Linked DNA regions of Lytechinus pictus. The protein of the gene in region 2 purifies or fractionates together with the protein of the main gene of each other region. This does not show direct contact. Links are inferred from orthologs where the notes say so. Each region holds a gene or a part of one and is shown on either strand. Other genes may lie near its edges.

Region 1 (11,481 bases), on a different chromosome or scaffold from region 2:
TCGTATTCTGACTGCCGCTTGACATTATAAACACTATTTGTACCAAATACAAGGATGCATGGGTATCTTAATTGATGCGACTGAAATTTTTTATATTTTGATCTTAAAAAATAATTAATGGACGTTTTAATTTGAGAACAAGATATATAGCCAATGAACAATTATTGCAAATGTAAAACGTGCGCTTTTTGAGGTTTAGACCCCAAAACGGGACATTCTATTGACTTTTTGTAATCATAAAAAAGGGTGGATGTCTTGCTAACTGAGGAAATGATGCGCAGCGAGTGCGAAGCGCGCAAGCTGAAAATATGTGTCATTTTAATATGAAAGCCAGACATTTTAAGCACGCTTTCAAATAAAGAGGATATATAAATTGAATAAAAAATAATTTCATGCAATAAAATACAAAAGAACAAGTGGGGATTACATGTGTAATATGTACACCATCAATGAACTCTTGTAATATTCATGAAGATATGCATATAGACTAAACTGTTTCACTAAAATAATGCAAATCTTAAAAATGGCATAACTCCGTTATTCCTTGTTCGATTTTGAACATATTTGCAGTATTTTGTTTGTCTGATTATTATCTGCTCAGATCACATTTTTCTTTCATTTTTTCAGCCTGGATGACCCCTTTAATGCGCATGAAAAGCGCTGAAATAATTGATATAGGCCCACTGACATGAAAACATGGAAAGGGATATTTTAAACACTCACGGTTTGTTGGAATTTATAGGAATGAAATACGTATTTCGATAATCAAACATTTTGGCTATTTATCATTTTTTAAATCACGAACAGGATGCGTAATTGCGTATCTCGATGAAACAAAATAATGAAAAAAAAAATATCGCGATTAGATAGATTCCATTAATAATTTGTGTATATTAACTTACAAACGTGAATTTTTAGCCTCTTGTTTCATTCACCTTCCTTTTTTTATTCATTTCCCCATGTCCTTTTTGCTTTTTTAAATGTTTTTTCTCTCTATCTTTTTGGCTATTGGCAAGCGGCTGGATTCCTCGTAACCCTGCAGAAAACTCATCCTGGTTACGGGCCTGCGATTGTTATATTTTGTTTATTGCCAGAAAATTTTAAGATGAACTACAATTCTGTGGCCCGGTTTTTCGGTTTTCTCATTCCAACTGTGAACAACAACGACAACGAAAAATACAGTTGTCTGTTTCCTGTTCTGTTTTTAACATTTTTTTTAGGGGGCGGCAGAATTAAGCTATGCGTTCCACATTTATTTTTATTTATTAAAAAAGGTTATACGAATACCTAAATATGGATTTTCCTAAGCTAACAAAATAAATATTGCAATTTGTAACTTGATTAAACTTCCGTAACAAAGATTGACAAGGTTAAATGCCACTCGAGGATTTGATTGTAAAGTATTTTGGGATTCCCAGAATTGGCCATGCGTTAATATTGCTTAGGATCTTGCTTAGGATTACTTAGGGCCAGAAACTTTTAAGATGAACTACAATTCTGTGGCTCGGTTATTCGGTTTTCTTATTGCAACTATGAACAAGAACGACAAAAAATATGACAGTTGCCAGTTTGTTGGTCTGTTTTTAACATTTTTTAATGGGGGGTGGCAAAATTAAACAATGCGTTCCACATTCATCTTTAATAAATTAAAAAAATGTTATACGATACGAATACCTAAATATGGATGTTCCTAAGCTAACAAAGTAAGTATTGCAATTTGTAACTTGATTTAACTTCCGTAACGAAGATTGACAAGGGTAAATGCCTTTGAGAGGATTTGATGGTAACTATCTTTGGATTCCCATAATTGGTCATGCATATAGCTTAGGATCTCAGGTTCTGGATGAAAAGTTATTTTAAGGTTGCCTCATTCAAATTATGAACATTAAACTAAACGAAAGATGTGCAATGATTTTTATGGTTTTTTCTGTTATGTTATTTGGTAAAATCCTGCTTCTGAAAAACAATATTGAATATTTTTTTATATCTTGCAAACATTTTGGCTTCAGTAAATGAAATTGTTGATACCACACTAATATTGAATTGTGTGCATTTCTATTTCAATCATTTCAAAAGTGATATAACTGAGTGACATAAGTGGGCAATGCTAACGATTAACCTCCGATAACATTGATATATATATAGTGCTTCAGTATCCGGTCAGTACTTCAAATTGACGCAACAGCGACTTGCCCCTTTTCTGTTGCCACTTTCTCATACATGGTACTTTCACAATATGCATCTTTCAACCCACTCTGTAGACTTCATTTTTACGATTTTTTCTCCCATCAATAATTTGGTGCATTTTTCTGAGAATAACCCTAAAAAATAAAGTAAGTTTCACGAACATGGTAATGACAAAAGTGAAATGAAAATAAATTGGTCGCAGCTAGCTCGGAAGGAGATGAAGCTCTAAAGGGTTTATCGGCTATGGTCTGGGGGCAATTAAGCCCCCGCCCCCCAAAAAAAGAATAACAATAATAAAGAAAATGATATGAAAGGGGTGAAATATTTCAGAATGAATAAAAATCTATCAAAAATAAGATTTTTTATAATAAAAAGGCAATTCTTTAATTCAACTCGCTTCACTCGCTCGTAGCTTTTTTAAGAAAATTAATGGAATTATAGATTGTCCAATTCCAATGGAAAATCATTTATGCATATCAATTAAACCATACTATACAAATAACGCCGCCCCCAAAAATCGCACAGGCCACAAAGTATAAGTAAATATATTTTCTTCTTCTTAAAGGGATGGTCCGGGCTGAAAATATTTATATCTTAATAAATAGAGTAAAATTCACAAAGCAAAATGTTGAAAATTTGATCAATATCGGATAACAAATAACAAAGTTATTGAATTTTAAAGATTTGCATTATTCCGGTGAAACAGTTCCAGGCATGTCTTTATAAATATTCATTATTTTTAGCTGGGCTGATGCTGTCACATCCCCACTTTCCTTTTTCTTATGTTATTACATGAAATCATAATTGTTTAATTTTTTCATGCATGTGTAAATTATGTGTCTCCATATTTTGATGAAATAAGTTGCGCCAATAATGCACTTAATCAGTTGTCAATCTAGTTGTTTTATTTCTTGGTATAGTAAAAATTTGAATAAACCTAATTTCATATAATAAAATACAAAAGAACAAGTGGGGATATGACATCATCAGCCCACCTCATGAATATTCATAAAGACATGCCTAACACTGTTTCACCTGAATAATGCAAATCTTTAAAATTCAATAACTTCGTTATATTGTTATCCGATTTCTTCTCAGCTTCTTCTTCTTCTTCTTCTCAAAAGGAATACATTACAGGCATTAATTTCAAAGTGTGCAAAATTTCTATAATATGTCCGTGTTAACTAATGGTCCGGGCTGTAATCCGATTTTGATCAAATTTTCAGCATTTTGCTTTGTGAATTTTACTCTATTTATTGAGATATAAATATTTCCAGCCTGGACCACCCCTTTAAACCTCCTTTACTTCTGATCGTCACCCCTGATCATTATGCCTTGTGTTTTGTCATTTTAATTCTTATATTCATCTCACCTTATGTAGTACTTGTATAAATTTTTTAATGCTTTTTATGATGAGTCCTGAATAAATTTGAATTCTTCTTCTTCCTTCTTAATTCTTCCGGCTTCCGGAGTCTAATTAAGCTGGCCTTAATTTTCCCATCTTCGCGTGATCTGCTTGTTATTTTTTAACACATGCACACGTTCGTATATATAATGCAGAAAGTATAATGCATAAATGTAAAGGTGCTGCTATTAGAGCAAGAGTCAGGTGGTTAGAAAAAGGTGAAAAGTGCACAAGTTATTTTTTAGGTTTAGAGAAATATAATTCAGATAGAAAAAATATTACCCAATTGTTATCTGTAAACAAAGATAAATATTGTACTAAACAAACAGAGATATTACAGGAAGTCGTAAAGTTTTATTCATTGTTATTTAGAAAATCTGATATCGATAAAACTGAGAGAAATAATTACATCAAGTCAGTTCATGTTCCAAAGCTGAGTGATGAAGGAAGAAATAAATGTGAAGGATTGTTAACAAGTGCCGAATGCAAACGTGCTGCTTTTTCTATGAATAAAATCAAATCACCTGGTCTGGATGGTATTCCCATAGAGTTTAACCAAACCTTTTGGGACGACATCAAATATATTTTATCGAGCGCTCTTAATGAATGCTTCACAAATGGAAAATGTCTGAAAGTCAGAAAGCTGGTCTTATTACAATGATTTATAAGAAAGGAGACCATAGAAATCTAGAAAACTGGAGGCCAATCTCACTTTTAAATTGCGATTATAAAATAATGACCGCAGTTTTGGCCGCACGATTGCAATCGGTTATTGGACAGATCGTTAGCGAAGAACAAACTGGTTATATAAAACATCGCCTGTCTGCCTTTAATATACGTCTTACAATTGATGTCATTGAATTTATGAAAAGAAAATACTTAGATGGTGCTATAATGATGGCAGACTTTTCTAAAGCTTTTGATGTAATAGATATAAATTTTGTGTCCTCATGTCTGGAAAAAATGAATTTTGGAAATAATTTCCAGACATGGATAAAAATGTTGTACACAGATGTTCGAAGCTCTGTATTAGTAAATGGCTGGATATCAGAGTCCTTTTCAATACAAAGGGGAATTAGACAAGGCTTTCAGCATTACTCTTTGTCCTCGCAGCAGAATTTATGTCTAACAAAATAAGAAATAATGAATACATAAGAGGTATACCTGTTTTGAAACCAGAAGATAATTGTGAGGTTAAAGTACTACAACATGCTGACGATACCCTGTTCTTTGTGTTAGATAAAAGATCACTAAAATTGATAAATGAAGAACTTGAGTTATTTGGGAATGTAGCAGGTCCAAAACTTAATAAAACTAAAACAGTGATCATGTGGGTGGGGAGAAGTAACTCCAAATGGTCACTCAATGATATTGGTCTATCATGGACAGATATTCCTACAAAATACTTAGGGTTTTACATCTCACCTGATATAGAAAAAGCACGTAAAATGAATTGGGAAAATAAACTAACGAAATTGCAAAGATTATTATATAATTGGAGAAAAAGAAAGCTTACTATTTTTGGAAGAGTAACCATTGTCAAAACTCTAGGTTTAAGTCAGTTAGTAGTTAGTACATATTCTCATGGTTGATATTATTCCTGAGAAAATGTTAAAAAGACTGAATTCTCTAATATATACTTTTATTTGGCATACAAAGATTGAAAAAGTAAAAAGACCTATAATGACCAACAAACTAGACAATGGAGGGGTCAACATGATTAATCTATATACCCCAAAATTGAGCTTTCGACTAAGATGGCTGGGGCGCATTCTTGCGTCAAGTAAAGGAATGTGTTGTAAATTCAGCCTTTATTGGTTTAATATTTTAGGTGGTTTGAAACTACTCCTTAATTCAGACTTTGATGCTTGTAATATAAAACATATATATGCAAGCACCATCTTCCAGTCTTTTACATTAAAATATTACAGGCCTGGTTAAAGATAAAGAATAATGCTTGTTTAGAATATCACCCTAAAGTACATGGTCTACAATACGAAATTTTGTGGCACAATAAAAATGTAACCTTTCGCAACATCACCCTATTTTTTGAAGGATGGTATAAATCTGGGATATATAGTATTTTTGAAAGATATTCTCAGGAATGGAAATTTCGTGGAAATTCATTCCCTTCTTAAATCGCAGAAGAGTAAGCAAAGATTGATATTCGACTACACATTATTACGTCAGGCTATCCCTAAAATCTGGATAAATGATAATACATTACCTTGTACCAACCGCAATAATAAACCTTCATTAGAGTTTCCCAAAATAGATGTAGGAGCAAAAAATCAAATTAAAAATTTTCATGATATTTCAAGTAAACAATTCTATAGACTATTATCCTTAGATTCATCGAGCACTATAACAGATGCTATTTGTATTGGGAAGAGATAATTGGGTCACCATTAGATTGGACAAAAACTTTTAAAAGAAACTTGTGTCACTGTAAAGAAAATAAACTGAAAGAATCAAATTTTAAGGTTATATATAATTTATTGCCAGTAAGAAAGAATTTGTATGCTATAACAGATGGGAGATGCCCGCATTGTTACGTGGACGAAGATAATGTACATGCTTTCGTTGAGTGTAATTGTAAACCAAATAAGACAAGAGATTCTTTTCTTATATTTGACAACAGTAGCTAAGTTTGAATACAATGTCGACCTTCTTACTCGATACTCTCTCTGTTTTGCTGCATGCCCTCTACGGTAAATACCGTCGCATTGAGTAATTGTTTTTGCCTTTTTGCGCTACTGCAGCGAGAAATCCGAAGAGAATGTCAAAAAGACGTTTAGATATCGATGATTCATACAGTAAACGGAAGGGAGAATCTGATTATAGGTAATGACGATGACTTGATACTGATTTGTGATATTTTCCAATCTATTAATACGTGAAAAATTGTTTTTTATTGTCTTCAAGTGAGAATGATATTGTAATCGTGACATGTGCATTGACCATTGTGGATACCGGTACGGTACGTACGGGTGTCGTTGAGTGATGAGGATGCAGCATGGCGCTCGCCGCTGCATGCTGCATCGGCTATATCTAGTATGAGTGACTATGGGCAGGGAAGTGTTATAGATGAGTCTGACTAGCAGCAGTGATGTGTGACTGTGAGGCGCGATGACCCGTGGCGCCTGGGACGATGCTGTGCTGGCCTAAAGCTAACCTAAGTAAGATAAGTTTTTTTAAAAATGATTGTGCGTCTCAAAGACAGAGTCGAACAAAACACAACTTTGAATTGCATGGCATGGCTGTGTTTATATTACTAAGTAGTGTATCGTTCATGTACTTCTTCATAAAATAAAAAAAATATGGTGCTAAATGGCAGTTTCGCACCGCCACGCACCGGCTAACTTCGCTCAAATTTCCCCAAACCACTCATTTGTTTGCAAATGTTCCCGTTCCTGATTGCGATATTCGGAAAAGCAATTGGCATATTATTATTGACCCTAATTTAAAATGTGATCGAGACTAGAGACTTGCTTTGACTATGAGTGACATTTGCAGAAAATTATTTCTTTGAAGTAGGCCTGCGCGAAACTGCATTAAAGGTAAAAAAAAATATTGGGAAGGGGTTGGGTATAGCCTTGAGGACTCTGTGATGATGTTATTAATATTTTTACATATACTTTTACATCACGGAGCCTTGAAATCGTTGCCATACATTTCAAACAGTTCATATATTAAAATTATTAATTATAATAATATTCTCAAATTTTATTATTTAATAAATAATGATTTTATTTTTAATCTATGAATTGTTCTTCAAAACGGCACTTCGTAACATAGACCAAAAGCTTCAGTCTCTGTATTTTGGTTGTTCCGCTGAACTACGTTGGCTCCACTCACCATACATAGACTGAAGGGGATGGGGCCCCGTACCTACAGCCAACGTATAGTGAACTAGCGTTTTATAGATCGCGATTTAAAACTGTTTTTTAAGCAAAATTGAAAGTTTCATGGTTTCCATTATCAGGGAAATATTAATAACTTAAGTAATTGCATACCTTGGGCCGGAGTTATTGAAAAAAATCCTCTGGATGATTGAGAAATCTGTCATCTAAGACATTTTCACCTGACCTGACGGTCTTTCTTGCAAGTTGCCATCTTGAATGACGTCATTATCGTATTAACTTAATGTCTCGAATCGATATATCGCGATTATAACTAGTACTAGTACTAGTATAACTAGTATCGTTTATCTTCGGTTTCGTTCGCATATGGAGCAGATCGTATAATATCGAAAGCAATATCGATATCACATTCGTGATTGTTGACGTTCGTTTGTAAATATTTTATAGTTTGGCTGCCATTTTGACCATTTTTATCGTGTTCAACCCAATTAAACATCGGTAAAGTATATTTTTCATGCCTTTTTCATCTATATCGTTTAAAGTATTTAAATGTTAAAATACAAAGTTTTAAAAGTTTGTTGTTAATACATCCTTAGATTGTAAATTCGATGTGTAAAATTACATCAAACTTTGAACTGTGAATTGACAAAAGGGAGGGAATGAGAACACATGCGAGCCCACACGTACACCCTACCGTCGGTAAATGGGGATTACAGTAAAATGTCAGAAATTGTTGAATAAATCCCCAGAAACGACGGTTATTCCTGTCTATTCGTAACATAGCTCATAGAAGCTACGTCATATCGAAGCGGTTCAAGGGTCAAGCCTATTGTATTTGTAGTGTTTACGAATGGATCGAGGGATCTACATGAGATTGGTCTGGTACGAAACCTCTCATTTTTCATATTTATACTAACATATTTTACCCCTTCAAGTTCAGGCTTCATACACATAAGGCGTATGAAGGTTCATAGATAAATAAAATCAAGAGAAACAAACCGATTTCACCCTCTAAATATGGATTTCCTAAGGAAATCTATCTGTGTTGACAAGTCTCGCTTAGGCATGTATGGCGACCATTTCAAGTAAAAGTATATGTAAAATATTAAAAAACATCACAGCGTCCTCAAGGCTAGGTTGGGTACAGGTTAAATCTTGCCTCCTTATTACAAAATTAGTCGCTTTTCTGAGATGCGCCTATATTCGACATGTGTCATGATTCAACATGTTTATCAGACTTTTTTCACAAGCCAGTGCAGTCAATCACCACAGCACACACCAAACACATACACAGGCACTATCACTCTCCACCTGTGTTATGCAGGACAACAAAAAATTCAAGAGCTGTTACTGTCCCAAAGAAAGATATAAAAATAATCCTTAATATCAAATTCATCATGTGAAAACACTTTAAACTTTACTTGTATGTATAGCATTGTAAAATACATTTAACTTCTGAAACAGAACAAAGTATCTGCCAAAAGTACAGATGTCACCGGTAACGCAAAGCCATAGTGTACGTACTATTAATAGTGTGAAATTCTAATTGTGTTTGAACATGACAACGCAGCTTCTTGAAGTTCATCAAATGGATCCCAGAATTTTCCTTCAAGTAGCTGCAATGCCAATTGCTGTTTTATGATCGCACTAAACAAAACCATTGAGGATGTGGGAGAGTGTGGATTCATTTCAGGGGTAGGATTTGTGTTACCCTCCAGTTCTCCACATCCTGAATCTGGCCTGGGAAGGTAATTACCTCAGAGTGGATTCAGTGGAATCTTAGCTCTGTGTCCTTCTGACACTCCTCAGTGAAGACAAACATTTTGGAAAATTTCGTTCAGATCAAGTATGCTCTTACTGGCACCAATGGTTGCCATCCATGGACCAGTCAACATGTGATGAATGATACCAAGGCATCGGACATCTGTCTTTGCTTCTGTTGTCCATGTGTTCATGAATGCTCTGTGCAGGTCATTTGAAGGTTTCATTACCTTAGTAAAATATTTTGTTATCCCATCTCCTACCTCGCTTACTTGCTACACTATGAAACAGGATATTTGAAGCGGTTACCAACCAAAGGTGGTAAATAATTGATAGAGCGGTTAGAGCCTCTATCCTTCAAGGTCTTAATTATACAATATCCCAGTGGTAGCATTGTTGAAGCTATGCTGAGCAGCATGTATTAGAGCCTGTGCATTACTTTCCCCTCGCCGATGGTATGGCATTGCGTTAATGTTTGGAACTATCCGCTCCTTGTCCTGTGATGTCAGCACAGGATCAGGTTTGTTTGCGATTGAATCCAAAAGGTGCATCCCACATCTAAACTTTTTTGACCTTTTCCCAATCTTCTCTTCAAGTTGTGCATCCACAGTAGCATTGGTAACACACCTATCTGTCATGGTATTGCTACCCTCTCCTAGCACATCACTTTCAGCACACCGCGTAATTGCATGGATATAGTCAAGTGGCGTAATTTCCTTCAGCAAGAAATTTATCCACACTGTGCTGCACTCAACCCAGGTGAGATGAATGGGTACCCGGCAGGAAGAAATTCCTTCAATGCTTTGAGCGCCTAGGTAGCCCAGCTAAAGCCGGGGTAATAATAATAGCAGGGCCCGCTGGGAGAACAGTTTTCGGAACTGAAGCGGCTTCCCTGGGTAAATATACCTGTATTATTATTATTATTATAAGTGCTAGACCTGGCTGCTGGTTCTTTCCCATTAAATAAGTTTCGCTTCAAGAAGAAACTTTCACCTCTGCAATGTGCCCAAGGTTCCCTTTCGTCGTTCTATCATACCATACTTAAGTGTTAAGTTTCCTTTATTATAAAGAGCATCTGCAACCTGAATTCGGCATACATGTTGATGTAGTGCTTTCATTTCAGCATCAAGTCGATACTCTTATCGGATATTACTTTCTTTCAGGCTACTCATTTCTTATTGATTTCCTTTCTAGCTACTGATTGTTTCCTTATGGCTTCTTTTTCTCTCTGTGTGTCTTTTAGCCATCAGGTCCTTGATATTTCCTTCCAGCTCACTAATTTTTCCTCAGTACATTGTTTCCATATATGCAAGTTTTTCATTGTGTCGCTGTTCAGTATTGTTGTTTGTCTCCAACAAATGTGAACATGATTGTCATGTTGTCATTTCTTTCCTTCCTTCATTTGAATTGAGCTTCACATGCATCTCTTACCCCATCGCGATTGACAGACTTTTTCATCCATGTAGCATTAGGACCCCTGATAATGCCTTTTTTTTGCATTATATCAGTCGCTCATCAAGTTTGTACCCACTCATGTCATGCAAGTAGATGGTGAGTGGCGCTTAATATGTGCAATGGAGAATCCCTATTAACTTTACCTTCAAGTTTCCATTCCAATGCGTGGCTCTCATTTTCTTCTTGAGCAAACTGAGAAGGAATACCTTTCCAGCACATAAGTTTTCTCTTTTCATCTTTCGGGCTACAGTGTACTTTGATGTGTTCCAGTAGTTAATCATATTGCCTAAAGTTATAGGCCTAATTGGGATTAAATGGTTGTCTCCATGGAATCCATGGAATTGTAACTTTCATGTGAGAATACCCAGAGCTATGATGGCATCCTTGCTCTCTATTTTATAAAACATGAATTTATAAAGTTTTGAAATCGGTTGCAAAGTTACAAATGAACATCCTCAAATCAGTTGCAAATTGTTGCATGTATTAAACTAGACCAACCAGTTAATGAATTCTGTATTGTTTTTTTATACCAGGGACAGGGATCGAGAGAGGGAAAAGAGGGACCGAGATGATGACAGAGATCGAGATCGTGATAGGGACCGTGATAGAAGAGACCGTGACAGGGATAGATCACGATGGGAATCCTCAGGGGTTACCAGTGCACCCATGTCCGTACCAACTCCTACAGTAGTTATCAATCCATTGAATCTCACTCCTTACTCACAAAAATACTTCACAATCCTGGCCAAGAGGAAAACACTGCCTGTCTGGGAATACAAGGATAAGTTCATGAAGATGCTGGAGGAACAG
Region 2 (11,452 bases):
CCACGGTACGCCACTGATCATGATGGTAACTGTCCTTGAGGCTCCGCACACTAGAATGTATTTTAAATTAACCTCGAGTCAATTGGTTGAGTCTATCCGAACTTGGTACACTCTAAAAAGATATATTGATCAAAATGATCATTATATTGGTTAATGAAGGGCAAAATCAAACAAATTGCTTTTGGAAATGTTAGAGGAGATATTGCTCTGCAGGTATCACCCACATCATAGGCGGATCCAGGGGGGCCCGAGGCCCCCCCCCCCCCCCCATTGGCGGAGCAAAAAAAGGGGGAGAAAGAAAGAAAAAAAAAGGGGGGAAAAAGAGGGAAAAGAGAGGAGAAAAAAAGAAGAGGAGGAAAACGAGTGAATAAAATAAGATGAGGGGGAGACTTGGAAAATAAAAAGAATCTTTCATGTCACTAAAGCTATATAAAATTTTCGCTCGCGCTTCGCGCTCGCATTGCCTGTTAGATGATTTTCATTTCTTGTTCAAAATGGAGTTTAAATATCAAGTTAGGATGTCAATATACAAAACATATTTCACCGCGGAAATCGAACTTTTATTATTTTGTGTGATTTACAAATTTATTTTTTAAAAGTGCTCTGTAAAAATGTCAATTTTATGGTCTGAATATCAACATTTCTGCTCGTGCTGCGCGCTCGCAAATTTTGATGAACAGGTACCTATTATTTTCGTGTATTCCATAAAGTTTTCAAAATACCCTTTTCAGGTCTGATTGTCAAAACGTATCAGCTAGCGCTGCACGCTCGCATTTTTATTTGTGAGTTATGTATGTCTCAATATTGATTATACAACAAACTACTTAAAATCCCCTTTTCATGACAGTTTATCAAAAATTTTGTCTCACGATTTGCGCTCGCATTAATGGTTCAAATATTTTATTTATTTATATTTATTTATTAAAACATCTTTCAACAGGATAAAACATTAATCAGCTCGCAGGCTGTTTCACATAATGGTCCTGCATAAAGAAAATATACACATATTAAAGAGAAAGATTACAAATAATTAGAAATACATGTTATTATATACAGCAAAACTAAAATACAAATAATGCTAAAAATGAAACATCAGAAAAAAAGAACAAATAGCAAGATTTATCTCACAGTAAGATAAAGAAGTGAAGGAAAAGGAAAGAGGTTTTATACATTGATATCAAGACAGGAATGGGTCTCAATTTAAAGAATTGTAACAATTTTAAATACTCATAGGAAATCATAATAATCGATAATAAGTAGATGTGTATTATTTGGTAATCATGCTTATAATAACAATACTATAGATATATATGGACCATGAAAGAACAGTTAAATAATTGTTATAGATTTAAGCGAAATTTCTTGTAATGATGTTTGAAACTTTCAACAGAAATGGCATTCTGGATATCTTCCGGGAGTTTGTTCCAAGTTACTGCTCCGGCATATTTAAAGGATTGTTTAAATAGGGATATGATAGGTTTGGGTAATACTACATTTAGTGAATTTGCATTCCTAGTGTTCATGTCATGGCGATCGAAGTACATTTCAATTTCATTTGATAAGCGGGGAGGGGCAACGCCCCTTATACACTTGTACATGAGAATTGCCAGAAAATAATCTCGACGTTGGTCAATAGTTTGCCAGGAGAGTTGATTTATCAATGTATTCCCGCTCGCAATTTGATAGTCAGAAATTCCAGATACATATCTGGCAGCTCTATTTTGCAATCTATTTAGGGGCAATTTGTAAGCTGCTGGACAGTTGCCCCAAACAGAGATTGCATACTAGTAGTCTATACAGGGCTGAATTATGCATTTATATAGGATATTTAGTACATGTGAACTCAGGAATTTACTCAACTTGCCTAAAGAGTAGATCTTATAGGCAATCGATTTACATAATTCTCTTAAATATACATTCCACTTCAGGTTTTCATCTATCACAATGCCTAAATACCTTATAGACTTTACCTGTTCAATCAGATCATTATTAATGAATGTATTCAATGTATCGGATGATCTTAATTTAATTTATAGTATTGTTTTGGTTTTGCTTGTATTAATGCGTAATCGGTTTCGGTTATACCAGTCATTTAAGGCGTCTACATCTTTCTGTAATTTCTTTGTTACATCTTCCAATTTACTGTCTGAGGCAAATACTACTACATCATCAGCAAATATGCTGCAAGTACCTTCAGTAATACATTCAGATATATCATTAATACAAATTAAGAACAGGATGGGGGCCAGAACACTGCCCTGCGGTACTCCAATAGAAAGCTTTTTTAATATTAGATAATTTTCCTTTGGAAAATACAGCTTGCTTTTTATCATTTAAATAGTTTTTTTTTACCAAGTGAGCATATTATTGATAATTCCATATTTTTCGAGTTTGAATAGAAGAAGTCCATGATCTACACAATCAAAACATTTTGAGATGTCTAGAAAGCATGCAGCAACCATTTCTTTCATATTTATAAGCATCATAGAAATCATCTAAGACACGATGTAGGCACGTTATTGTTGAATGGTTCGGAAGAAATGCGTATTGATCAACATTAATCATGTCATGCTTTTGGAGGTAGGATAGATTGTATTTCCTTTTCTATGATTTTGGGGATGTGACTACCGACTGAGATTGGTCGGTAATTCGATTTTTCGTCTTTTGAACCCTTACCTTTGAAAATCGGTGTCGTACGTGCAATTTTCCAGTCAGCAGGAACAAATCCCCGTATCTAAACTAGTGTTAAAGATGTCACATAAGGATAGGGCAATAAATGGGGCAGCTAATTTCAATGATTTTGTATCAAGTCAAGGGTATCTAAGTTACTATTTGATATATTAACTGATGTATCCTATTTATAATTACAAAGTGCTTTTTCAGGCCATAATATCATCAGATTTCGCGCCCTCATTATAGGCATTAATGAATAAGATATTAATTTAATAATTAAATTGTCCCTTTTGTTTCATCTCGCGCTTAGCAAGAGGAATAGGAAGATAGTCATCATTTTCATATGCGTGTCCTAAGGATGTCCCGGTCCTATATGTTAAAACTCAAAGTAATAGTAATGAAAAATAAAATAAAAATCAGCTCCTTATTAAGTGCGATCCATATCCACCTCACAATTTTCCTACAAAGTGCTTAAAATATTGAGCTGAAATTGACTCTTTTTTTCAGATCGGAATATCACATAGTTTAAACTCGCGCTTCGCGCTCGCTTTGAATTTTATGATAAAAGATGTAATTAGGATGCCTAGATTCTAGGTCTAAATATATGAAACACGCGCGCGCATGTTTATTCAGATGATCAACTTGTTCTCTATTTAAATCATTATCCAGTTTCAGATCACAATATCAAAAATTCTCTGCTCGCGCTTTGTGCTCGTATTATTAATGTAGGAAGATTCCCTATTACTCACTCTTTTCATGATTTACAAAACATGAATATAGTGTCCCGTTTTTAAGTCTAAATCTCGATTTTTTCCGCTCGCGCTTCGCGCTCGCATCAATTGTTTAGTTATACTTATCCTGTTCACGATTAAAAAATTTGATTAAAATTTTACATTCTTTATGTAAATGTCCAAATATTTCAGCACGCTCGCATTATTTGATTGTTATAATATGTAACGTCTTCATGGCTAAGTTGCAAGCAGTCCTCAACAGGTACCTTTTCGATCAGTTCAAAACGTATACAAAAATGTTCTGCTCGCGCTCTGCACTCGCATTAATGTAACGAAGATCCCCAATTAATCATCCTTTTCATGATTTACAAAACTTGAATAGAGTGTCTCGTTCAGTAGGTCTAAATCTCGAAATTTTGCGCTCGCGCTTCGCATCGATTGTTTAGTTATATACCTATCTGTTTAAATTACAAAAAGTGCTTAGAATTTTCATTCCTTAGGTAAAAATGTCAAAAAATTTCACCTCGCGCTTCGCGCTCGCATTATTTGATTTTTAAAATATGTAACGTCTTCATGGCTAACTGCAAGCAGTCTTTAACAAGTATCTTTTCCATCAGTTCATTTCTGCTCACGCTTCACGTTTGTAGTAATTATTCATTTACATACACATCTTTTTCAGGATAGCAAACATTGCCCAGAATTTTCAAAATTTTAGGAAAAATACATAATATTTCTAAAGAAATTTAGCTCGCGCTTCGCGCTCGCATTATATAAATAAGGATTATGATATTATATATTTATGTTTATTCATAACAGTAAAATTTTATTTTATAGGTCTATACTTTATCGTTGATATGATATAAACTCAAACATTTTCATGCCAAAATGATTTCAATTAGTGAGTGATGAAAGGATTTATGTTGGACAGTTCATAAAGTAGAACAGCACTTCATCACATACATACACTAGCGTACCTACGGGGGGGCAGGGGGGGCACTCTGCCCCCCCTGACGAGCCACAACCCATACAAAAGACATATACCTGCCCCCCCTTTTTTTTTTTTTTTTTGCTTGTCAATTTTTTTCTGGTACGATGACCTTCATTTTTTAATTGAAGACCTTTTTTTTTTTTTTTTTTTTGCTTGTCAATTTTTTTCTGGTACGATGACCTTCATTTTTTTTAATTGAAGACCTTTTTTTTTTTTTTTTTTTTTTTTTTTTTTTTTGCTTGTCAAATTTTTTGCGGCCGATTTTGCCCCCCCTGTGGAAAATCCTAGGTACGCCACTGCATACATACCAAACGAATTGTAATGTAAACACCAATGTGCGCTACCATAATAACACACTGAAATAGACAAGTTCAGGATTTCTTTGAGCCACTTGCAAAACTTGGATAACAGAAAAATAAAACGTTCTGTAATAAAAGTAATTTCTTCATATTTCAACATCACAATGGATCCGAATGGATATTGATATGATACATATATAGTTTAATGTAAATTATATAATAATAGCAACTAGCGTTCAGGTTTTCAGAGCAATACCGCATTGCAGCTAGTCCAAGTGGATGTAAGGTTCCTAAACTAGTTTCTATGGTAACGGTTACCGCATGAATTTTTAAATGTGTATAGCGAATCAGGGATTTAAATTTATAGGTGTTTCTTAGGTACCATTCTATCAACCTGTTTTGAAGGGGAAATTCACCCTGACAAATGGTTTACTGTTAGATTAGCAGAAAAATATATTGGTGAAGGTTTGCGGAAAACCAATCAAAGATTAAGAAAGTTATTAGAAGTTTGAGTTTTTGATTTGTGACGACATATACTAGCAGCTTCACCGTATTTTATGCACCAAAAATGTATACTTTTCAATTTTTAATCAGTGGTTCATGATTGCTAAAATATCTTTCAGGAGCGGATGTGAAATGATTTGTATGTTGATATACTTAAGGTACAGTGAAAACCAATTTCCTTTTTTTTAGAAAATGACATTTCATTCATATTTTTTTATTACACCATATGTGGGAAAAACTGCTCGCAAATGACGTGAACTTTAAAATGTAAAGTTCTAATAGCTTTTAAAATCTTTGATGGATTCCCTAAAACCCTCATCAATATCATTTTAATTATTTTCTGCTATTTCTACAATAAACTATATGTCAGTGTGAATTCCCCCTTTAATGAATAAAGTACAATACTTGGGATCCAAAGTGTGCTTCAAAATTGAATATTAGAAGAGCGATTTGACATGAGAAGGCCGTGCATGTAAGTTCCGGGGGAAAAAAGAAATACCAACTCAAGTGTTATCAATTTGGTGCAGAAGATCTACAGTATGGTTTAAAAATGTTACCCTTTCCATTAGTCCAACATTATAATTCCAATTTTCTTCTCAGACCTTTTCTTATTTAATCTACTGTACATAGAGGGGCTTTTTTATTTTTTGGCATGGGGGTTTAAGACTGGCCATTTATACCTCTTTCATTTTTACCTCAGCTATTTTTGCCTCTGCCATTATTACCTCTGCCATTATTACCGCTGCCATATATTCCTCTCACATTTTTTATCTCTGTCATTTTTACCTCTGCCATTCTTACCTTTGCCATTTTCACCTCTGCCATTTTCACCTCTGCCATTTTTACCTCTGCCATTTTTACCTCTGCCATTTTTACCTCTGCCATTTTTACCTGTGCCATTTTTACCTCTGCCATTTTTGCGTGAATGAGAAATAATCTAAGTAATTTCAGATGAAAGAGGAGATTCTAAGCTTTACAATGGTAGGTCATTTGTCTATTGTATTTGTGATTGTGAGATAGTCATCATTTTCATATGCGTGTCCTAAGGATGTCCCGGTCCTATATGTTAAAACTCAAAGTAATAGTAATGAAAAATATCAGCTCCTTATTAAGTGCGATCCATATCCACCTCTGCCATTTTTACCTCTGCCATTTTTACCTCTGCCATTTTTACCTGTGCCATTTTTACCTCTGCCATTTTTGCGTGAATGAGAAATAATCTAAGTAATTTCAGATGAAAGAGGAGATTCTAAGCTTTACAATGGTAGGTCATTTGTCTATTGTATTTGTGATTAAGTTATGATAAATCATCGATAAATCTCGGTTTCGTTTTTTGTGGGACGCACTGTATATATAGTCATAAAAAAATGTCTGTTGAATATAATCCAGTGATTCCAGTCAATTATGTCATTCAGGGGCGAAAAGGAAAATTTAATGAAAAAAAGAAGATAAACGAGAATTGCACAGATTAAAAGAGTGTTAATTATGTCACAAAGTCACAATTAATTTATAGGGGGCTGTGCTCTAGCTGCATATGTCGATATCGTTCGTCCACTGCCCTCCCTGGATTGACACTGCCCCCTTTCCTCTCCATTTCTCTGCTCCTCTTCACATTCTTTCTCATCACCTCTCCCTACTTCTACTTCTCTTGTTCCTCTCACCTTACTGCGCCAACCCCCCCCCCCCCCCTCCTCCGAACACTCATCGATCGAGGGCCGCCAATTAACTGCATGTCCCCGAGCTGTCTTTTATCTCACTCTCCCTACTTTTCCTTCTTTTACTCTTTCATTTCCCCACTGTTTCTTCCCCTCCCTCCCCTTTTAATTTGCTTGTTTTTTTTTTTGTTTTTTTTTTTTGGGGGGGGAGGCTTGGCCCCCATGACATCTCCACTGCCACGTCATGATGATTGACGTGTTTTTCCAGAATTCCGAACATTGATGAGCGTTCCATAATCGTGAAGTACGAGTGGCGCGCGTACCGTGCGTGGTTTACGCACACGGCCGGTATGTATGCTTGCCTGGTACGGTAGATGTCACGGATCGAAATGGCGGCTGCTTGTTCAGAAGTTCTTCGCGTGAATAGAGACCTTCTTGATAGCCAGTTTGATGGCTACAAATTATCTCTCGACCCACTACCAATTTATTCTATTTCCGTCAAGTCTGGTGAGTTCAGTTTGTTTTATACAAGTTGGCAAGTGCGAGGCTTAGCAAGCCCTTGTCCCATGCATTCATTTTTGCGTCGCTATGATTTAAGTCGTAATTAGGCGAAAGTGCGGACCGATCAGCTGGGCGTACATAAATTGCATTGCAGTGAATAGCGAGCGCGTATCATTCACACACTTTATTTCGCTCCAAATCCAATTGTCCAGTCAGTCCGCAGCCCGTCCGAAAGTGCTCTATTTTATTCAGCGGTATGCATAGCCGTCCGTGGTTATGCATACGTAATGAGCTGTGAAGACGAACTTTCCGATCGGTGTTTTTTGCTCTTAGAATCGTTTATTCCTCACATAATTGGTCTTATTTTATAGATAAAACTTTGAAATTTCTGATCAGCTAAATAAAATGCACATTTAATGTATTTTCAAGACCGATATTTAGCTTAGAAAAAATGAGTTTTTTTAAGAAATATATGTGAATAAACAGAGCGCATTTTTGCATCGAAATCATACTTGCGTCAAATTGATATTATAATCAATATAAAGCGTAGACATTCTTATTTACGACTGAAAAAAAATTATGAAATTTCATGATGTAGCAAAGTCAGGAACCACAAAAAACCACGGCAATGTCCATCGCGAAATGATTGGAATTGTAGTAGAATTGCCGACGCGTTCTGATTGGTCAACAGCGGCGCACAGACTTACAACATTATATATATCTTAAAAAACCCGGAAGTAATACGGAAGAGATCGATGGCGAATTGCGTGAGCGCTATGTTTTGACGTGTGCAAGGACCCTGGTTCGAACCCACCAAATTGAGTTTTTTTTTTTTTTTTTTTTGAGGGGGGGGGGGGGGTTGATGGGGATATGTTTATGCTTTTTCTTTAAATCGTATTCCTTCATCGTTCCTACCCAGCTTTATTCTCTTTTTACTTTCATATGAAGTTCTATTTAGGCCTGTATTTATTAAATCATGGAGCTATTATTAATAGCTCTATGATTAATTCTTACTTCTTCTTAATCACTGCTTTTGATTTTCAAGTTCTTGATTACACTTATTTGGGCAGGGGTGGGAAGGGAAGTGAGTTAAAGGTCAAGTGCACATCAACAAAAAAGTATTTGAATAAATAAAGAAATTTCCCTGTTTTTACACAAAACAGTTATATACACAAAACAATGGTATGCAAATAGAGTTGATTATGTCACTCACATCAAATTACTTTTTAAATTTTTGTTGCATTTTTATTATATAAATTTTAGCAAATTTGATGTAAAAAATCTTTCTCGAATCACAATAGGTTACATTTATGGAAACTACGAATGTTAATGGAGGAATTAAAATCCCTCTCAAAATTTGTTAATGAAAATTAAAATAAAATATACATGTCATGTACATGTATCAAACAAAAAAATACACAAGAAATTAGAGTGCGTGTGACATAATCGGTTCTGTAATTTGCACATTGACCAAGATGAGCATATAATTGTTTTATAAAATTAGGCAAATTTCTCAATGTCAAAATAGTAATTTTTTGAATTTTGAATCATAGTTTTTATAAAATTCTCTGCAATACTTTATTTTTCTTTAAATTCAAATTATTTTTTTGGTGGGGTGGACTTCTCCTTTACTCTTTGCTTGGAATAGGGAATGCACATTAATATTTATCCACGAACAAAATTGTCTAAACATATGCAAATCAGTAATTGGACACATGCTCACTTTCCTTTCATCCAGGCCACCCCCTCACATCCACCAGGTTTACAGTCTTATAACAAAAATTATGAATTAATTATAATACCATCACACCATAGCTCCATGATCACACAACATTCATACAGTGCTTCACAACAAATATTTCACTATTGTTCATATAATTACTGTGGAAAACAAAAACAAGGCGTAACCACATTCAAATACCATATAAAAGGACAAATATATTATACCTTTCGAAAAAAAAAAATTGTGAACATACATGGCACTTAACCTTCAGCACATTAGATAACATATAACAGAGTTGCTTGAGAACAAAATATAATTATGGGGCATTGCAAGAAACTTATGTTCAATTGCAAATCAACTACATGTTTGTGTTTAATCAAAGGACTTACCCTTAATTTTGGAATGTGTGATTGAGTAGAAAGTTTCTTGCAATGCATCAAAAATGTTCTTTGGTTTTGAATTGTGAATTTTTATTTTTGTCAAGCTGTATTCCTGTCCAAGTCAGTATTCTTAGTCCTCCCCAAAACTGTGCTCTAATTTTTTTGTTTCCAATATCGATAAAGATCAATTTTCTGTTGTATCATTATCAGTCCAAAATTTGCAAACGAAAAAAGGGCTTTGTCCAAATCATGGTCTGACCATTATAGTACATGATGGAATCTCCCAGAATGAAGTAGCAAGCAGAGACCAGAGTCAGAAAGTATGCAGATCTGTGTGTAGAAGAGACAAAAAAGAGAGAAATAGTCTAAATTATTCAAAGTATGAATTATGTTACATGTAAGTCAATTAAGAGACTAACTAAGTACTGTCTGTGACAGACACAATTTTTTTATTTGAACAAAATGGTTTATAAATACTACTGAGTACGGTAGTACCAGACTTTTTACTTTGACTTTAAACTGTTTATAGTCTCTAGAGTAGACTGTCTGAGCTAATCATCATTTAATTCTTAACCGCAGCCTGGGGCAAAAATCATCATGGGGCTCATCTTCGACTAATTAAGAAAAAAGGTTAACAATTTTCAACATAAATCAAGAAATATCTCAATCTATAAAAACTTGATGGAATTCGGAAACCTGATAATCATTTGAATAAAACTTTAGAAGGGATCTACTTATTAAGCTTCGTTTATATTAAGTCTTAATAAAAAAAAAAAACAAGTCCACCGTCCACAGTCAGAAATATAATGCGAGCCATCTGCCATCATTACAGAAGTTTCAACGTATGGGACCAAAGGCGAAATTCTACCAACCCGCGACGAACGTAATTTTGGCATTATTTCGCGCCATCGTGGAGTGAACGAGAAGGTTACTTCCGGGTAAAACGTAAATTTCTTGATTTTTAGGGTATCATTTTCTCTAAAATAAAAATACAAGGTGAGTTTGCGTCAAGTTGGTTCTGACATATTTTGAACAGTGACTTTTCTTCTTTCTAAAAAACCCCGATCGAAACAATTTGGTTATGTAGCAAAGTCAGGAACCAAAAGTGAAATTCCGACTACAAAATCGCGGTTAAAATATTACTAAAATAAGCATCAATTAAAGAGGTAAAAATGGTAGGTTGAAAATGTCGAAATATGGACAATTATATACCAAAATGTAGATGAAGGTCTTGAAAATAACTTACCACAATTCGTTTCGACGTAAACTGAAGTTAGCGACCAGTACAGAGCTATAACTTCAGCCCCTCCAATTCAGTGGGAAAATCAAGCCAAATTGATCGCACGTTTTCCTTCGGAGACCGCTAGAGGGCCGCTGAATAAATCTCCGTGAATATGCTCATTATCGCGCGAGCTGCGGTCTGACTGTGTCCCTTCGGCCGAGCGCTGGAGCGGCATTTAATTTGGAATACTCAGTACTCTGACAGTAGCTTGACAAAAACTGAGTCAGTCATGCTCAGTTTCTTCCTTTATTACGCTGATTTTGATTGGTCAAAAATTATGGTTGTTGCTTCATAAATCTTTGGCAAACATCAAAAAAGACAAAAATATGCAGCGTGGAGTTTCACTTACCGGCGTGCGATGGAAAGACCTCAGGTTAAGATAATACTGCTTCTTCGCTTGAAATCGCCCTCTCATAATCATCGAATCTTAATGAAACTCGGTTAGTAATAAAATTTGATTGAGAACATTTTATGAAAGTTTCATTGAATTTGGTTCATAAAGAGCTAGCGATATTTTTTAGTGTTGTGAGGTGTTTGCGAATCTGATTTTGCTCATTTTGTAAAGCGCTGTGATATTGTGAAGAGCACTATATAAATACTTATAATGTTGTCTTGTAATATTGTATTGTAATGAGACAATAATAATGTCAATGAGACATTATTATTATTGAGACAATAATAATTATTATAATAATTATGATTATAGTAGGGATGCC

Evidence for each region.
Region 1: the proteins of nudC domain-containing protein 1-like (region 2) and putative pre-mRNA-splicing factor ATP-dependent RNA helicase PRP1 purify together in Homo sapiens (co-immunoprecipitation; 3 studies listed by BioGRID and IntAct, with this or other methods). This does not show direct contact. The link is inferred for Lytechinus pictus from reciprocal best matches to the Homo sapiens genes NUDCD1 and DHX15.

What each region holds. Positions count from the first base shown.
Region 1 is NC_087256.1:1,565,582-1,577,062, reverse strand, and holds the start of putative pre-mRNA-splicing factor ATP-dependent RNA helicase PRP1, read left to right. Parts: upstream 1-6,309; 5' UTR 6,310-6,371; coding exon 6,372-6,436; intron 6,437-11,204; coding exon 11,205-11,481.
Region 2 is NC_087246.1:46,602,355-46,613,806, reverse strand, and holds the start of nudC domain-containing protein 1-like, read left to right. Parts: upstream 1-7,145; 5' UTR 7,146-7,224; coding exon 7,225-7,357; intron 7,358-11,452.